3 linked regions of the Saccharomyces cerevisiae S288C genome follow. Changing the gene in region 3 together with the main gene of any one other region gives a genetic interaction. Each region holds a gene or a part of one and is shown on either strand. Other genes may lie near its edges.

What was found. Genes that interact genetically often act in the same process or in processes that back each other up.
Region 1: mutations in MON1 (region 3) and VPS21 together harm fitness more than expected from each alone (negative genetic interaction), as found in Saccharomyces cerevisiae (4 studies listed by BioGRID, with this or other methods).
Region 2: mutations in MON1 (region 3) and ARP1 are lethal when combined (synthetic lethality), as found in Saccharomyces cerevisiae (4 studies listed by BioGRID, with this or other methods).

What each region holds. Positions count from the first base shown.
Region 1 is NC_001147.6:489,151-493,359, reverse strand, and holds VPS21 (Rab family GTPase VPS21), read left to right. Parts: upstream 1-2,531; coding exon 2,532-3,164; downstream 3,165-4,209. Other genes in the region: type 2C protein phosphatase PTC5, read left to right, coding at 519-2,237; YVC1 (Yvc1p), read right to left, coding at 3,626-4,209.
Region 2 is NC_001140.6:361,954-366,405, reverse strand, and holds ARP1 (actin-related protein 1), read left to right. Parts: upstream 1-2,252; coding exon 2,253-3,407; downstream 3,408-4,452. Other genes in the region: YHR131C (uncharacterized protein), read left to right, coding at 1-1,066; YHR130C (uncharacterized protein), read left to right, coding at 1,106-1,441; FUR1 (uracil phosphoribosyltransferase), read right to left, coding at 3,641-4,291. UniProt on the Saccharomyces cerevisiae protein: Core component of the dynactin complex which assists cytoplasmic dynein by increasing its processivity and by regulation of its cargo binding.
Region 3 is NC_001139.9:273,056-278,363, reverse strand, and holds MON1 (guanine nucleotide exchange factor MON1), read left to right. Parts: upstream 1-1,649; coding exon 1,650-3,584; downstream 3,585-5,308. Other genes in the region: 40S ribosomal protein uS5 RPS2, read right to left, coding at 1-747; methylenetetrahydrofolate reductase (NAD(P)H) MET13, read right to left, coding at 4,042-5,308. UniProt on the Saccharomyces cerevisiae protein: In complex with CCZ1, is required for multiple vacuole delivery pathways including the cytoplasm to vacuole transport (Cvt), autophagy, pexophagy and endocytosis.

The DNA of each region.
Region 1 (4,209 bases), on a different chromosome or scaffold from region 3:
CTTTCTAGAAATAGTAAAACACATTGATTAAAAAAAGATATATTGTCGATTTTCACTAACTCATCGCTGGGGAACAAAAATTTTTTCATTATCATCACAGTTCATCATGTTCGACGAGCTACGTGCCAATTCATTTCCTCCACTAGTCTCCAACTTAAGAAATACTCTCAGAGGTTGCAATCTTGTGCTGTTCAGGGTGTGATGGGCAGCATTGACTAAATTTCCTTATCCCTTGCATAGTTACATTCTTAGTTATCAGGTATTGGCGACCAATTGCATACATTTTTATTTTCTACTTTAAAACTCAGTAATGAGCAGTTACCGGCCCTTCATTATGTAGAAAAACAGGATTCACTTCTTTCTACACAAGATACAAAAAAGAAAAAAAGGATCGATTGGAGGGTAAACGAAATCGTGTGATAGGCAGGAAAAGAAACATCTATTGCTACTTTAATTGAATTTGTGCTCTACTGAAATTTTTCAACAGAAGAAGTGCTTTTACTTCTCTCAATCTCTCCATGTCTCCCTTAACTAGAACCGTAGCTATAAAGAAAACGGTTAAGGTTCTATCTAAATGTCAATCTGGTAGAGAATACACACAGAAGTTTCTCCAACGTGCATATTCAACATCACATGCCAACAGCACATACTATTCAAGGACAAAGCTATTCATATCATCACATTCTAAAGCTCTAAACATTGCTCTACTAAGCGGGTCCCTACTGTTGACCTACTCCTACTATTCCCCTAAAAAGATCCTCTCCCTTGATACAATTAACGGAATAAAAGATTATTCTACAAATACTAGTGGTAACATTAACATGCCGTCACCTAATCCAAAAGGAACAGAGACACAAAAGAGTCAACGGTCTCAGAATGACCAATCTGTTCTTATCTTGAACGATTCTAAAATAGAGGCTAAACTACATGATAGAGAGGAAAGCCATTTTGTTAACCGTGGCACTGGTATATTCAGGTATGATGTGGCACAGTTGCCCTCTAACCATCCAATAGAAGACGATCACGTAGAACAAATCATTACCATTCCGATAGAAAGTGAGGATGGCAAGTCCATAGAGAAGGATTTGTATTTTTTTGGAATTTTTGATGGACATGGTGGTCCTTTCACTTCGGAAAAATTATCTAAAGATCTAGTCCGTTATGTAGCGTATCAATTAGGTCAGGTATATGACCAGAACAAAACGGTTTTCCATTCCGACCCCAACCAATTAATCGATTCTGCAATTTCGAAAGGTTTTTTGAAACTAGATAATGATCTTGTAATCGAATCGTTCAGGAAGCTGTTTCAAGATCCAAACAACACAAATATTGCAAACACTTTACCAGCGATTTCTGGTTCTTGTGCACTATTAAGTTTATACAACTCCACTAACTCAATTTTGAAAGTGGCTGTCACTGGAGACTCAAGGGCTTTAATTTGTGGTTTGGACAACGAGGGCAATTGGACGGTAAAGTCGCTATCCACCGACCAGACCGGTGATAATTTGGATGAAGTACGGAGAATTAGGAAAGAACATCCAGGAGAACCAAACGTTATAAGAAACGGAAGAATATTGGGTTCATTACAACCATCCAGGGCATTTGGAGACTATCGCTACAAGATCAAAGAAGTCGATGGAAAACCATTATCGGATTTGCCTGAAGTTGCCAAACTTTATTTTAGAAGAGAGCCAAGGGATTTCAAGACACCCCCATATGTCACTGCGGAACCAGTGATTACTTCTGCCAAAATTGGTGAGAACACTAAATTTATGGTGATGGGTTCGGATGGTTTATTCGAATTACTAACTAATGAAGAAATTGCTTCCTTGGTTATCAGGTGGATGGATAAAAATATGAATCTGGCACCTGTGAAGGCAGAACCGGGGAAATTACCAAAAGTTATCGATGTATCTGAAGACAAGGAAGCACAAAGACCGGCATTCAGGTACAAGGATAATAATTCGAGCTCACCATCAGGATCAAACCCAGAGTATCTTATTGAAGACAAAAACGTCGCCACTCATTTAATTAGAAATGCATTAAGTGCGGGCGGAAGAAAAGAATATGTATCGGCATTGGTAAGTATACCATCGCCGATGAGTAGAAGATACAGAGATGACTTGACAGTAACAGTGGCGTTCTTTGGTGATTCTGGAACACCCTCAATTGTCTCCAATGCTACTTCAATAGTTATGAACCCGGAGGCAACAACAAAGCCAAAACCTAGATTATGACGATATAAACTTATGCTGAGGTAGGTATATACCAGAGGATTTATTTTATAGATATTAGTCTGCTGATTATCTAGTTTCTTGTCACCTCATACGTGTTTTTTTTTTTTTTGGTTTTCTCGGTTTGCATTATGGGGCTTTTTGCTAAAACAATATCCCCGAAAAGACAAAGAAAGAGAAGTGAGGTGAAAATACGAGCAGCTTATCTTATAAAAGTGGCAACGATTTTAAAAATAAAAAGCAAGATCGTCGACTTATCTAAGCTATAAAAAAATATCCCTTTTATCACACAAAAAAATGAACACATCAGTCACTTCCATAAAGTTGGTACTGTTGGGTGAGGCAGCAGTTGGTAAATCGTCAATAGTCCTAAGGTTTGTATCTAATGATTTTGCCGAAAATAAGGAGCCCACCATTGGTGCAGCATTCCTCACTCAAAGAGTTACTATAAATGAACATACTGTTAAGTTTGAAATATGGGACACTGCTGGGCAAGAGAGATTTGCATCTTTAGCACCTATGTACTATAGAAACGCACAAGCTGCTCTTGTAGTATACGACGTTACAAAACCACAATCCTTTATTAAAGCGCGCCACTGGGTTAAGGAATTACATGAACAGGCATCAAAGGATATCATCATTGCGTTAGTTGGTAACAAGATCGATATGCTGCAAGAAGGTGGGGAAAGAAAAGTCGCAAGGGAAGAAGGTGAAAAGCTAGCGGAAGAAAAGGGCTTGTTGTTCTTTGAAACAAGTGCAAAGACAGGAGAGAATGTTAACGATGTATTTTTGGGAATCGGTGAAAAGATACCACTGAAGACGGCTGAAGAGCAAAATAGTGCAAGTAACGAACGTGAGTCGAACAATCAAAGAGTGGATTTGAACGCTGCTAATGATGGGACCAGCGCAAACAGTGCTTGCAGTTGTTAGAGAGGGGAAAATAAATATATATAAAAAAAAAGTCTGGGCAAATTGAGATAAATAGATCTTCAAAACGGGAAAGATGAAAGTCATAATTTATCGTACCTAGAAAGGAGAGGGAGTTTTCATTTTTTACCGTAATCGTTGTTTTTCTTTTCTTCTTATAATTTGTAAATTTTTTAACTGCATTAGATCATTATATTATCTTTCAAAACGCCAGTCGTTTTTATTAGACCTTTATATACGTTTCAAAGTGGTTTGTACACGTTAGTTTAGTTAAACTTTTGTTTTCATGTAGACCAAAATATAAACTTATTTTATGCCGAAAATCGGGAGATGGATTAGTTAATATTGTAAATAATGATAAATTAAAGGAACATTAAATTTACAAAGTTGCAATGAGGAGCAATATATATATATATATATGGATTTCTGAGAAATTAATTAAGCAGTATTTGAACACATGTCGTTTACTCTTTCTTATCCTTTATGTCTAATTTTTCGAGTAGATCGGTAATTACAGCTGTCAAGTTTTCCACTTTCTTAGTGAGCTCTTTGACTTCATCTTTATCTTCACCAGCATCATCTTCAGTGTCATCGTTATCATACTGTTCGAAGGAGGGACTGCATTTTTTAACGTTTTTATACCACTTCTTAGGGACTTTAAAATGGACATCTTCCTGCTCTGCTGTTCTTTGCAGTTTTAGCGAACGGGAATTCTTTAACTGGGTGGCTCTCATGCCAGAATTTCGGTTATCAGAAAACAAACCGTCATCATCATCCAAGTAGCCATCTGTCAAATCCCATGGAGTATCATATTCATTGGCATCATCGTTTAACCTTTTCATCCTGTTATATTTTATCCTTCTAGCCTCCCGAGTTTCTTTAACAGAAATAAGCAACAAAAATGGGCTGTACACTATTGTCATTACAGTATAGCTCAAATCTTTAGCACGCTTCGGTGGAAGAATACGAAAGATAGGTGTCATGAACACTTCAATTAAGTTCAATGGAGAAACATAGACATCTTCATCAGGTGCTCTAATGTATCTCA
Region 2 (4,452 bases), on a different chromosome or scaffold from region 3:
CACCATTAAAGTAGAGCGTCCAATGCACAGAAATAGAGCTATTTCCATGCCCCAAAGACAGTCATTGAGGCGTGCAATTAGCGAGGAGGTTGTCCCCATCAAATTTCCAAATAGCACAGTGGGTGAATCAGTTCATTCACCCTCTCCTATTGAGCATCTTTCCGTTGATGGCTGCGAGATTATGCTGCAATCACAAAATGCGGTTATGAAAGAGGAATTACGGAGTGTTGCGTCGAATTTGGTAGCCAATGAAAGGGATGAGGCATCTATTAGACCTAAACCTCAAAGCTCTTCGATATACCTATCAGGATTAGCTCCTAATGGGGAATCCGCCACAGATTTATCCCAAAGCAGTAGGTCGTTATGTCTCACAAACCGTGACGCTGAAATCAATGACGATGAAAGCGCTACTGAGACCGATGAGGACGAAAATGACGGTGAAACCGATGAATATGCTGGCGATGATACTAATGATGATACTGATGACAGTAATATTGGTTATGCTTATGGCAGTGAAAGTGATTATTCATGTTTAATTGAAGAACGAATAAGAAATCGAAGGCGAGCATCTTCTACTCTAAGTTGCTTCTCCAATATACCTTACGGAACGGATGATATTAAATGGAAACCAGCTATTAAGGAAATTTCAAGAAGGCGTTATTTGAGGGATTCTCTGAAGTGCATCAAACCATTTCTAGATAGTAACGACTGTTTGGGTAAGGTTATCTATATTCCAGTTTCGGGACCAACCTTTGAAACAAGTAATAAAATTCACTTTAGCAACCGCCAGAGCTTACAGAAGCAGAAGAATCATTTTTTAAAAGGCTTCATCGTGGGACCTACGGCGTTGATAGAACTTAATTGTAAAAATAAGAATGCAATTGTTGGAACAACAAAGGACGCTGAAGATCATGGGGAGGACGACGGTGACGGTGATGATGGTGAGGATGATGATGACGACGACGACGATGATGATGATGATGACGACGACGAAGACGACGACGATGATGATGATGATGATGATGACGACGACGATGACGATGATGATGGACAGATTACTGCATAAGCTGTGATGCAGTAATCTTGTTTTTGCAGAATTAATATCATGACTAAAAGTATATATATTATCATCGGATATATGCTACATGATGAGGAGTTTTTCTATTTCTTTTTTATTTCATTCTATACACTTTGGATCGTGTTTTTTCTTTTGCACTTGAGTTTCTTTTCAACATTATCATTCGGTATATTTCACGATTTTGACACCGATGTTTACATAAAAGTGGGTAATTATATTTTGCATTTTCTCGAATTGAGTAAAAATAGTAACCTTTTAAAGAATTCTTCAGAAATGTTAAAGCATTTCCGATTGGCATCATTGATGTATATGTACGTATATACTCAGATGATTTGCCCCTCGTTACTTGGCATCAGGAATTAGCAAGGGCTGTAAAAAATAAGTTTAAATATATATAAATGGTTGCGAACTAAGACAGTATTGTTTTCAACTATTACTTTGTCATTGACTAGTCTATACAAACTAATGATTTTCTACTAGGTCTTACTTCGATTTCTCGACACCGTACTCCAAGAGCTAAAGCTTTCAATACGTATGGATTGCTTCGTTGCTCAGAAAGGTTAACATTAATCATTTTAAGGTTTTTGTTTATAGACAGTACTTTATTTTCGCTTCATTTTTCCAGTTTATATTTCAATTTAACAAAGGCAATGCCTCTAATTTCAAACAAGCAACATAATACAGTATTTATTGATCAACGTTTGATTAGAAGTTGAATTTTGAATGGGTATCGTCTGGTAATTCCAAAGAATAAAAGAAATACCTGTTTTACCATGATAAACAGTGTTTATTATACCACGTTAAAAATCATTTCTTGAAGGTAACGCTTTCATCAACCTATAATAAGACTACAGAAAAAAGCTCATAAAAGAATGCTAAGTAGCATAATGTTCTGAACAAGAGCTCAAAGCAAAGGACACAGTACACCTGTGTGACGGTGAGTTTCCTATTGCCTTCTCTTTTTCCGTTTGTATTAATCTTTTCAAGAAAAAGTTCATTTCCAAAGTGGCCATTTTCGCGATGCACATCAATAATGATAAACACCTTTATTGAATAATAGCGAAGCAAATAGCAGATATTCCCAATAAAACAGCAAATTAATAAAAGGGCATAGACCAAGGAGTACATGCTAATGCTATACCACGAATTGAGGAATTAGAAAGAAAGTTAGCCAATGGACCAGCTAAGTGACAGCTATGCTTTGTACAATCAACCGGTAGTGATCGACAATGGTTCTGGGATCATAAAAGCAGGATTTAGTGGTGAGGAAAGGCCTAAAGCACTGGAATATTGTCTCGTAGGAAATACCAAATATGATAAAGTTATGCTCGAAGGTCTGCAAGGAGATACATTTATTGGAAACAATGCCCAAAAACTGCGTGGATTATTAAAATTACGATACCCCATAAAGCACGGCGTGGTGGAAGATTGGGATTCTATGGAACTAATATGGTCATATGTGTTAAATGAAGTCCTACAGTTGCAAAATATAGGTGAGCATCCTTTATTAATTACGGAAGCCCCGATGAATCCTTTGAAGAATAGAGAGCAGATGGCTCAAGTATTGTTCGAGACCTTTGACGTATCGGCTTTGTACGTTTCAAACCCTGCTGTTCTGTCATTATATGCTAGTGGGAGAACTACAGGTTGTGTAGTTGACTGTGGTGAAGGATACTGTAGCACTGTTCCCATATATGACGGCTTTGCATTACCTGCGTCTATGATGAGGATGGATATTGGAGGAGCAGATATCACAGAGCAGTTACAATTTCAACTACGGAAATCAGCTGGTGTTTCGTTGTTTTCCAGCAGTGAACGAGAGATTGTTCGCACGATGAAAGAGAAAGTTTGTTATTTGGCCAAGAATATTAAAAAGGAAGAGGAGAAATACTTACAAGGTACTCAAGATTTAATCTCGACATTCAAATTGCCCGACGGGAGGTGTATAGAGGTGGGGAATGATCGATATCGTGCTCCAGAAATATTATTTTCACCTCAAATCATCGGCTTAGGGTACGATGGATTATCTGATATGTGCATGCAATCTATTTGGAAAGTCGATCTGGATTTAAGGAAACCTTTACTGTCATCGATAATCCTAAGTGGCGGAACTACAACGCTTAAAGGCTTTGGAGACCGAATGCTATGGGATTTGGAGGCATTAACCAAAGGAACATCCAAGATAAAGATTATAGCCCCTTCAGAAAGAAAATATACTACATGGATTGGTGGTTCTATTTTAACGGGGTTATCTACCTTTCAAAGACTTTGGACCAAAAAGTCAGATTGGCTAGAGGACAGTACCCGTGTTTATTCGAACCTAATGTAAGAAACAGAGTCGTTAGATTTTTCAAGCATATTTGTTATAAATAGCCATTGATACGTTTATATTATTTTTACAAAAAAAGGTAATTAAACATGCATGAACAACAAAATTGATAGTAGAAGAGACGGCAACAAAGGTTTAAAACGAGAAAGGAAATTTAAAACAGTAGAAACCAAAAGTTGATATGCGGCTTCAGCCGTTCTGAACCTTCAAGATGGTGTTCGGGTGTGATTTATTTAAACACAGTAGTATCTGTCACCAAAGTCACCCAACCCTGGAACTAGATACTTGTTTTCATCTAGACCTCTGTCGAGGGCACCAGTAACAATTCTGACCTCTGGGAAGGCGGCATGGTATTTTTCAATCCCTTCCTTACTACAGATTAGGTTTAAGAAGTAAATTCTCTCTGGCTTAACACCTCTCTTAATCAAGACTTCTGTAGCCATGATAGCACTACCACCGGTGGCCAGCATTGGGTCTAATAGGAAGACATACCTTTCAGATATATCCTCTGGTAATTTTTCGTAGAATAACTTTGGTAAAGCAGTCTCCTCGTCCCTTTGAATTAAAATTTTACCGATACGCACAGACCTACAACAGTCTCTTAATCCTTGCTCCATCGATTCACCAGCTCTGACAATGGAAACACCACAGATTTTACCCATGAATGAGACACCTTCGAAGTTTTCGTTGGTGTCAGTTTCCACAATTTGCTTTTGCACAGGTAGATGGTTCAAACCTTCTTCAACCAACAATCTGATGATTCTATCGGAGTAGAAAATGAAATCAGGTCTAGTTGTATTCTTATTTCTGATGATGGTGTACAAACCCAGCAATTGGTTTGTTTGAGGTAGCAAGTAGACGTTCTTAAATGGTTCCGAAGACATTTTTTGCAGATTTCTAGGTTTGCTAACGAAAGACCCTTTGTTTGGATAATATATAAGATATGTAAGGTACAAGAATGGAGAAGCCAAAAAGAATAACGGGTTCATGGTTCAAGAAGAAATGAAGCTAGTATTGGAAGAGGATTCTTACCAATATATATATC
Region 3 (5,308 bases):
AGCAGAAGCTTCATCGGAGTAGATGTCCAATGGAGAAACTGGCAATGGTTGTTCGGCCCACAAGTTTGGAGTCAAGAAACCGTATGTGTTACCAATAGCAACGAAAGCAGCCTTCAAGGTGTTTTCCAAAGTTCTAGTCTTACCGTTAGATTGGGTGTAGACATCTTCAACACCAGCCAATTGCAACAACTTTTTGACAGCTGGAGAAGCGACGATACCAGAACCTCTTGGGGCTGGGATCAATCTAACAGTGACGGAACCACACTTACCAGTGGTCTTGGTGGCCAAAGAATGTGGTTGACCCAAGTTGGTACCCCAGTAACCTCTTCTGATTGGGATAACGGACAACTTGGCAATAATGATACCAGCTCTGATGGCACCAGCAACTTCCTTGGCGGTCTTGATACCCAAACCAACGTGACCGTTAGAGTCACCAACAACGACAACAGCCTTAAATCTGGTTCTTTGACCGGCTCTGGTTTGCTTTTGAACTGGCTTGATGTTCATGACTTCGTCTTGCAAACCTGGCAACAAAGTGTCAATGATTTGGAATTCCTTGACTGGCAAAGAGTGCAAGAAGATTTCTTCAATGGTGGTAATCTTACCAGCCTTGACTAATCTACCTAGTTTGGTAACTGGAACCCATCCCTTTTCTTCAGTGTTTCTTGGTCCTCTTCTGTTTGGACGGCCTCTGTTACGGCCACCGAAACCACCTCTCTTTTGTTGTTGAGCTTCTGGAGCAGACATTACTTAATTAGTTGAGCTTATTGGTTGTTTGTTATAGTCGGAATGGAACACGGAAAGTTGATGTAGGTAACTTTCAATCGACAATATATAAAGAACACGGTTTCTTTGGGATTGAAAAGGTATCAAGCAGTAAGGAAGGAAATTGGAAACAAAGGAAGAGAAAGTCTGAATTAAAAACTTGAAAACTCTTACGTTACTACAGAGGGGAATAGATGAAAAAATAGCTAGGCGTCCTGGGAAGCTGCGTGCAATACTAAGGCAGGACAGATACCTACGTTACCTCGTTAATGATGACATGCGTTTTCCATCAAATGTTTGCGTCCAGTTCCATTATCACAAATCTTAAAATTCAAACAAGTAAATAATCCCATAGAGCGGGTGTATGGGTCTAGCTTAAATACACCCAACCATATTTAGAAAGCAGTCTTCTAAACCAAACAATCGCATGCCGACGTAGAAAACTATTAAGAAAACCTTAAGAATCCTTAGTGAATAAGCCAATTACTAAAATACGTGTAAACCTTCTTCGCGTCGAAAAGCAGTTCAAGCTCACATCCCGGATCTTTAATGAATATGGTTGGGCCCAATCAAAGATTTCCCGTCAAGTCTTTGCCAATGCTAAACAATAGTATCTTGCAATAGTGATCGTAAACCGTAACCTTATATTTACGTAGTAAGGCTAGTATGCGTACCTTTATCCCTGATTAACAACATATCCTAATTCTTTTAGTCTTTCTTCTTATTTTGCTTACATAAAATGGTATTACTAGGCTCCATCGTTCTATCTCGTAGGGCTGAAATAAAGGATAAAAACCGCGGTACGAGACAAAGATAGTAGTGAATACGAATTGAATAAAAAAGTCTATCAAAGTACACAAACGTAGAATCAGTACATCGGAACTATGAATCTCAATGAAAGCTACCTAGATGCTGAGATACCGAAGGGTCAATTGAAGCATAGTAAAAGTGGGAATTTTGAGGGTATTCCAATCGTGGCAACGACTTCAGAACCAACGACATCGGTTAATCTAGATGAAACATTCTTCAAGAAGGCGCCTATAGCAATGCCAATATGCGATGATCATTCTGTTAGTAAATCTACCTCTGTAAATTCTTTGAATACAACATCTTTGGCATCCAGAAGATCTCCTTTGCAAACAAAAAAATTGCAAGCTAAAAATAATTTATTGTCAGCAGATTTGGCAAAGAGCAATGATGATACAACGAGAGCACTAAACAGTCCAAAAAAGGATTTCGGTCCTTATTTGGACAGCGAGAATGACATCAGGAGTCGCTTGGCCGAAAGCATATATTCTATGGAAACATCTATAAGAGGATCGGAACTACAGAGACGGCCGTACGTAAGTAACGAAATTCCTAATGTATTCAAGTTTTCGAAGTTCAATAGTAACTGCAAGTTAAATGAGAGCCAGACTCTCTGTGACAAAAATTTCTTCATATTCACGTCAGCGGGTAAACCGATCTATTGCATGCACGGCAAAGATGAACAGATCATGTCATATACAGGGCTCGTTAATACGGTAATAAGCTACTTCCAAGTCAATGGACCATCGGAATTGAAAACTATATCCACTTTAACTTCTGGTAAAAGGCTTACTTTTTTGGATAAATCACCTATATTACTAATGGCTCAATCCGAAAGAGGCGAGTCCTCGAACGAATTGTTGAATCAGTTGGATTTTTTATATTCGTATATTCTTTCGTCTTTAAGTGAACGCCAATTACTTAGGTTATTTTCCAAAAGAGAAAATTTCGACCTGAGAAATTATCTAGAAAGCACAGATTTTGAAAATTTAGACGAAATATGTTCACTAATCTGTAACAGAATGTTCCCGGATTTACTATTGAACTCTTTACAATGCTTACCATTTAACCATTCTTCAAGATTAAAGTTGCAGAATGTGGTTTTACAGCAACTGGAGAAAAGGCAGGACATTCCCAGGGGGACCTTACTGTACGGCTTGATAATTGCGCCTCAGAATAAATTGTGCTGTGTTCTTCGACCCAGAGGCCATACTTTACACACTACAGATTTACATCTTCTATTTTGCCTAATATCTCATCAATTTCAAAATTTAGACGAAACTCAGGAACTTTGGGTACCCATTTGTTTTCCCAAGTTCAATTCGAGTGGTTTTCTTTATTGTTATATTAAGTTTCTACCTAATGATACTCACAGCAATGAGAAATCGGCACTAGTATTAATAAGTGCACAAAAGGATGCATTCTTTTCATTGAAGTCGTTTAGTGACGAGTTGATTATTAAACTCGAAGAAGAGAAGCTATTGAAAAAGATAAATACTTCAAAAGGGTTCAAGCTTAGCGATATACCAGCACCAATGGTTCATCATTTCATATATAAATCGAAGCAAAACGTTCAATATGTTATGCCGCACTTCGAAGTCAACAGTAACATCGCACTGGATTCTTCACAGGGGCTAGAATATGAATTGAAATTGAAGACATACTACCAACAGTTACATGGCACGGTAGTGAGAGATAATGGCAATTTGTTAAGTAGGTCTATGTTAAATTTTGTTAGATGGAGTTCCAAAGACAATGAGGACTTGGCGATGGACGAAACACAAATGGATTTTTCTGAATTGGATGAGTACATTATTGGAAATTCATCATTCAAACAAGAATCGGTTAATATGGTAGGAATGGCGTGGGTGACGCCCACTTTTGAATTGTATCTGATTGGAAATAATGGGATTGTTGACAAAAGGGTTTTATTCAAGAGTGCGAGAAAAGTAGCTAATTGGTGTCAAAAACACGAGTCGAGACTATTTATAAGTGATGGGGCCGTGTTTTAACTTGTGACAGGGAGGTTATTTTATTATTTTTTCCTTTAATTTGTAAATATATCTATAAGAGTATATATATATATATATATAGGTATACATACATGTGAAAATGTAAGTACTTTTAGTGTTCTTCCTTTTCGAGTATGTTGAATATGAAGAGAATAAATAAATGAAGGAAGAGGGTGTTGAACTATTTTAAAGTACCTTTAAAAAACTTTGTTGAAAGTATGAGAAGAAATGAAAGGATTTTCCTGAAAAAAAAGAAGGGGTGTTAACCAAACACATGTTGAAATGCTAGTTAAAAAAGAATGGTAAAACAATGGAAAAGGAAGGAGCAAAATCTGGTAAAAAAGAAGAACCATAATAATAGTGAATAAAAAAAAAAAAATGCAATGTAATGTTGAATGTAATGCAAAGAGGGGGGGTTGACAATTCTGTTAAAGAACTGTTATCGTTGTCTGTGTTATTATAGGCTTAGTAGGATGGAATGGATTTGATCATCTGGAGAAATGTAGTCATTGTCAACAATATTGACCAAGCAGTAATCGTCAATCAAGGACTGAATGAATTGGGCACTATGCGGTTTATCGTATTTATTCATGTTTAGTTTCCATTCATTCAAGATATGATAGAACTCCTCCTTCCACGCTAAGAACGAAATTTTCTCGACAATGGTAGGTTGAAGAATTTCTCTGCCGGGGAAAATACCCCAAGTCACAGCGTTGGACTTGGAGTTGTCTGGATGATTACTTAGCAGGTCACCTTGAGAGTCGATGGCGAAGTAGGTCAAGAACTCATTGTTTTTCAAGGTGTCAATCAACTTGGGCAACTTAGTCTTGGGCAACATAAATTCCAAATATTGCTTCTGGTAAACGTAACCATCCTTGGGTCCCCAACCATGAATTTTGTCATTGGACCTAATGCCGTTGACTTGAGGTTGAGAGTTTATAGTGATGATAGAATGCTGGTTCAGCTCAATCAAGTGTGCTTTGATTGGATTTATTTCATCATTGATGGGGATATCACTCCAAGGTAAACACTTCAAGTTTCCATTCAAGTAGTTGATGACCAAGAAGGCGACGTCGTTGATGGAAGTAGGGGTGGACCATAATTCGAGACATTTGTTCGCTGATTGCCTGATCAAGTCTGAACCACACAGATCCAAGTCACCGAACGCAGGAGAAGACGAATCACCGAATCTACCGTTGGGGAATTCGTCCACGGCCCATTGAGAGGTTCTTGCGACATAGGAGTAAGGTCTTCTCTTCCAGAAGATAGGTCTGACTTCCTCGTTTTTACGCTTTGGATTCAAAGATTTTCTCCATGGCAACACGGCCAATGGATGTGCATTGAACTCTGATTCCGTAGGTAGAATGTTCAATCTTTCCAGAATCATGAGAGGCGCTTTTTCCAAGTTCATGGTGTAGATGTGCAAGTGAGAAACGTAACCACTGTCGAGCAATTTTTGACACATTTCCACGATCAAGTTAGTTCCGATATCACGGACCAACTCGTCATCGTCCTTGATAGGATCCAATCGGGACGAGAAATGTTGAGGGATGGAGATTTGGCCCCATTGGGCCCTTCTCAAGAAGGCCGCGTAGGTAGTGATCGGCATGATCCCGGGAATAATGGGCACGTCCATGCCCGCAGCTCTAACTTGGGAACACCAGTTGATGAAATTATCAACATCGTAAAACATCTGAGTGATGATGAAGTCGCCGCCGGCGTCG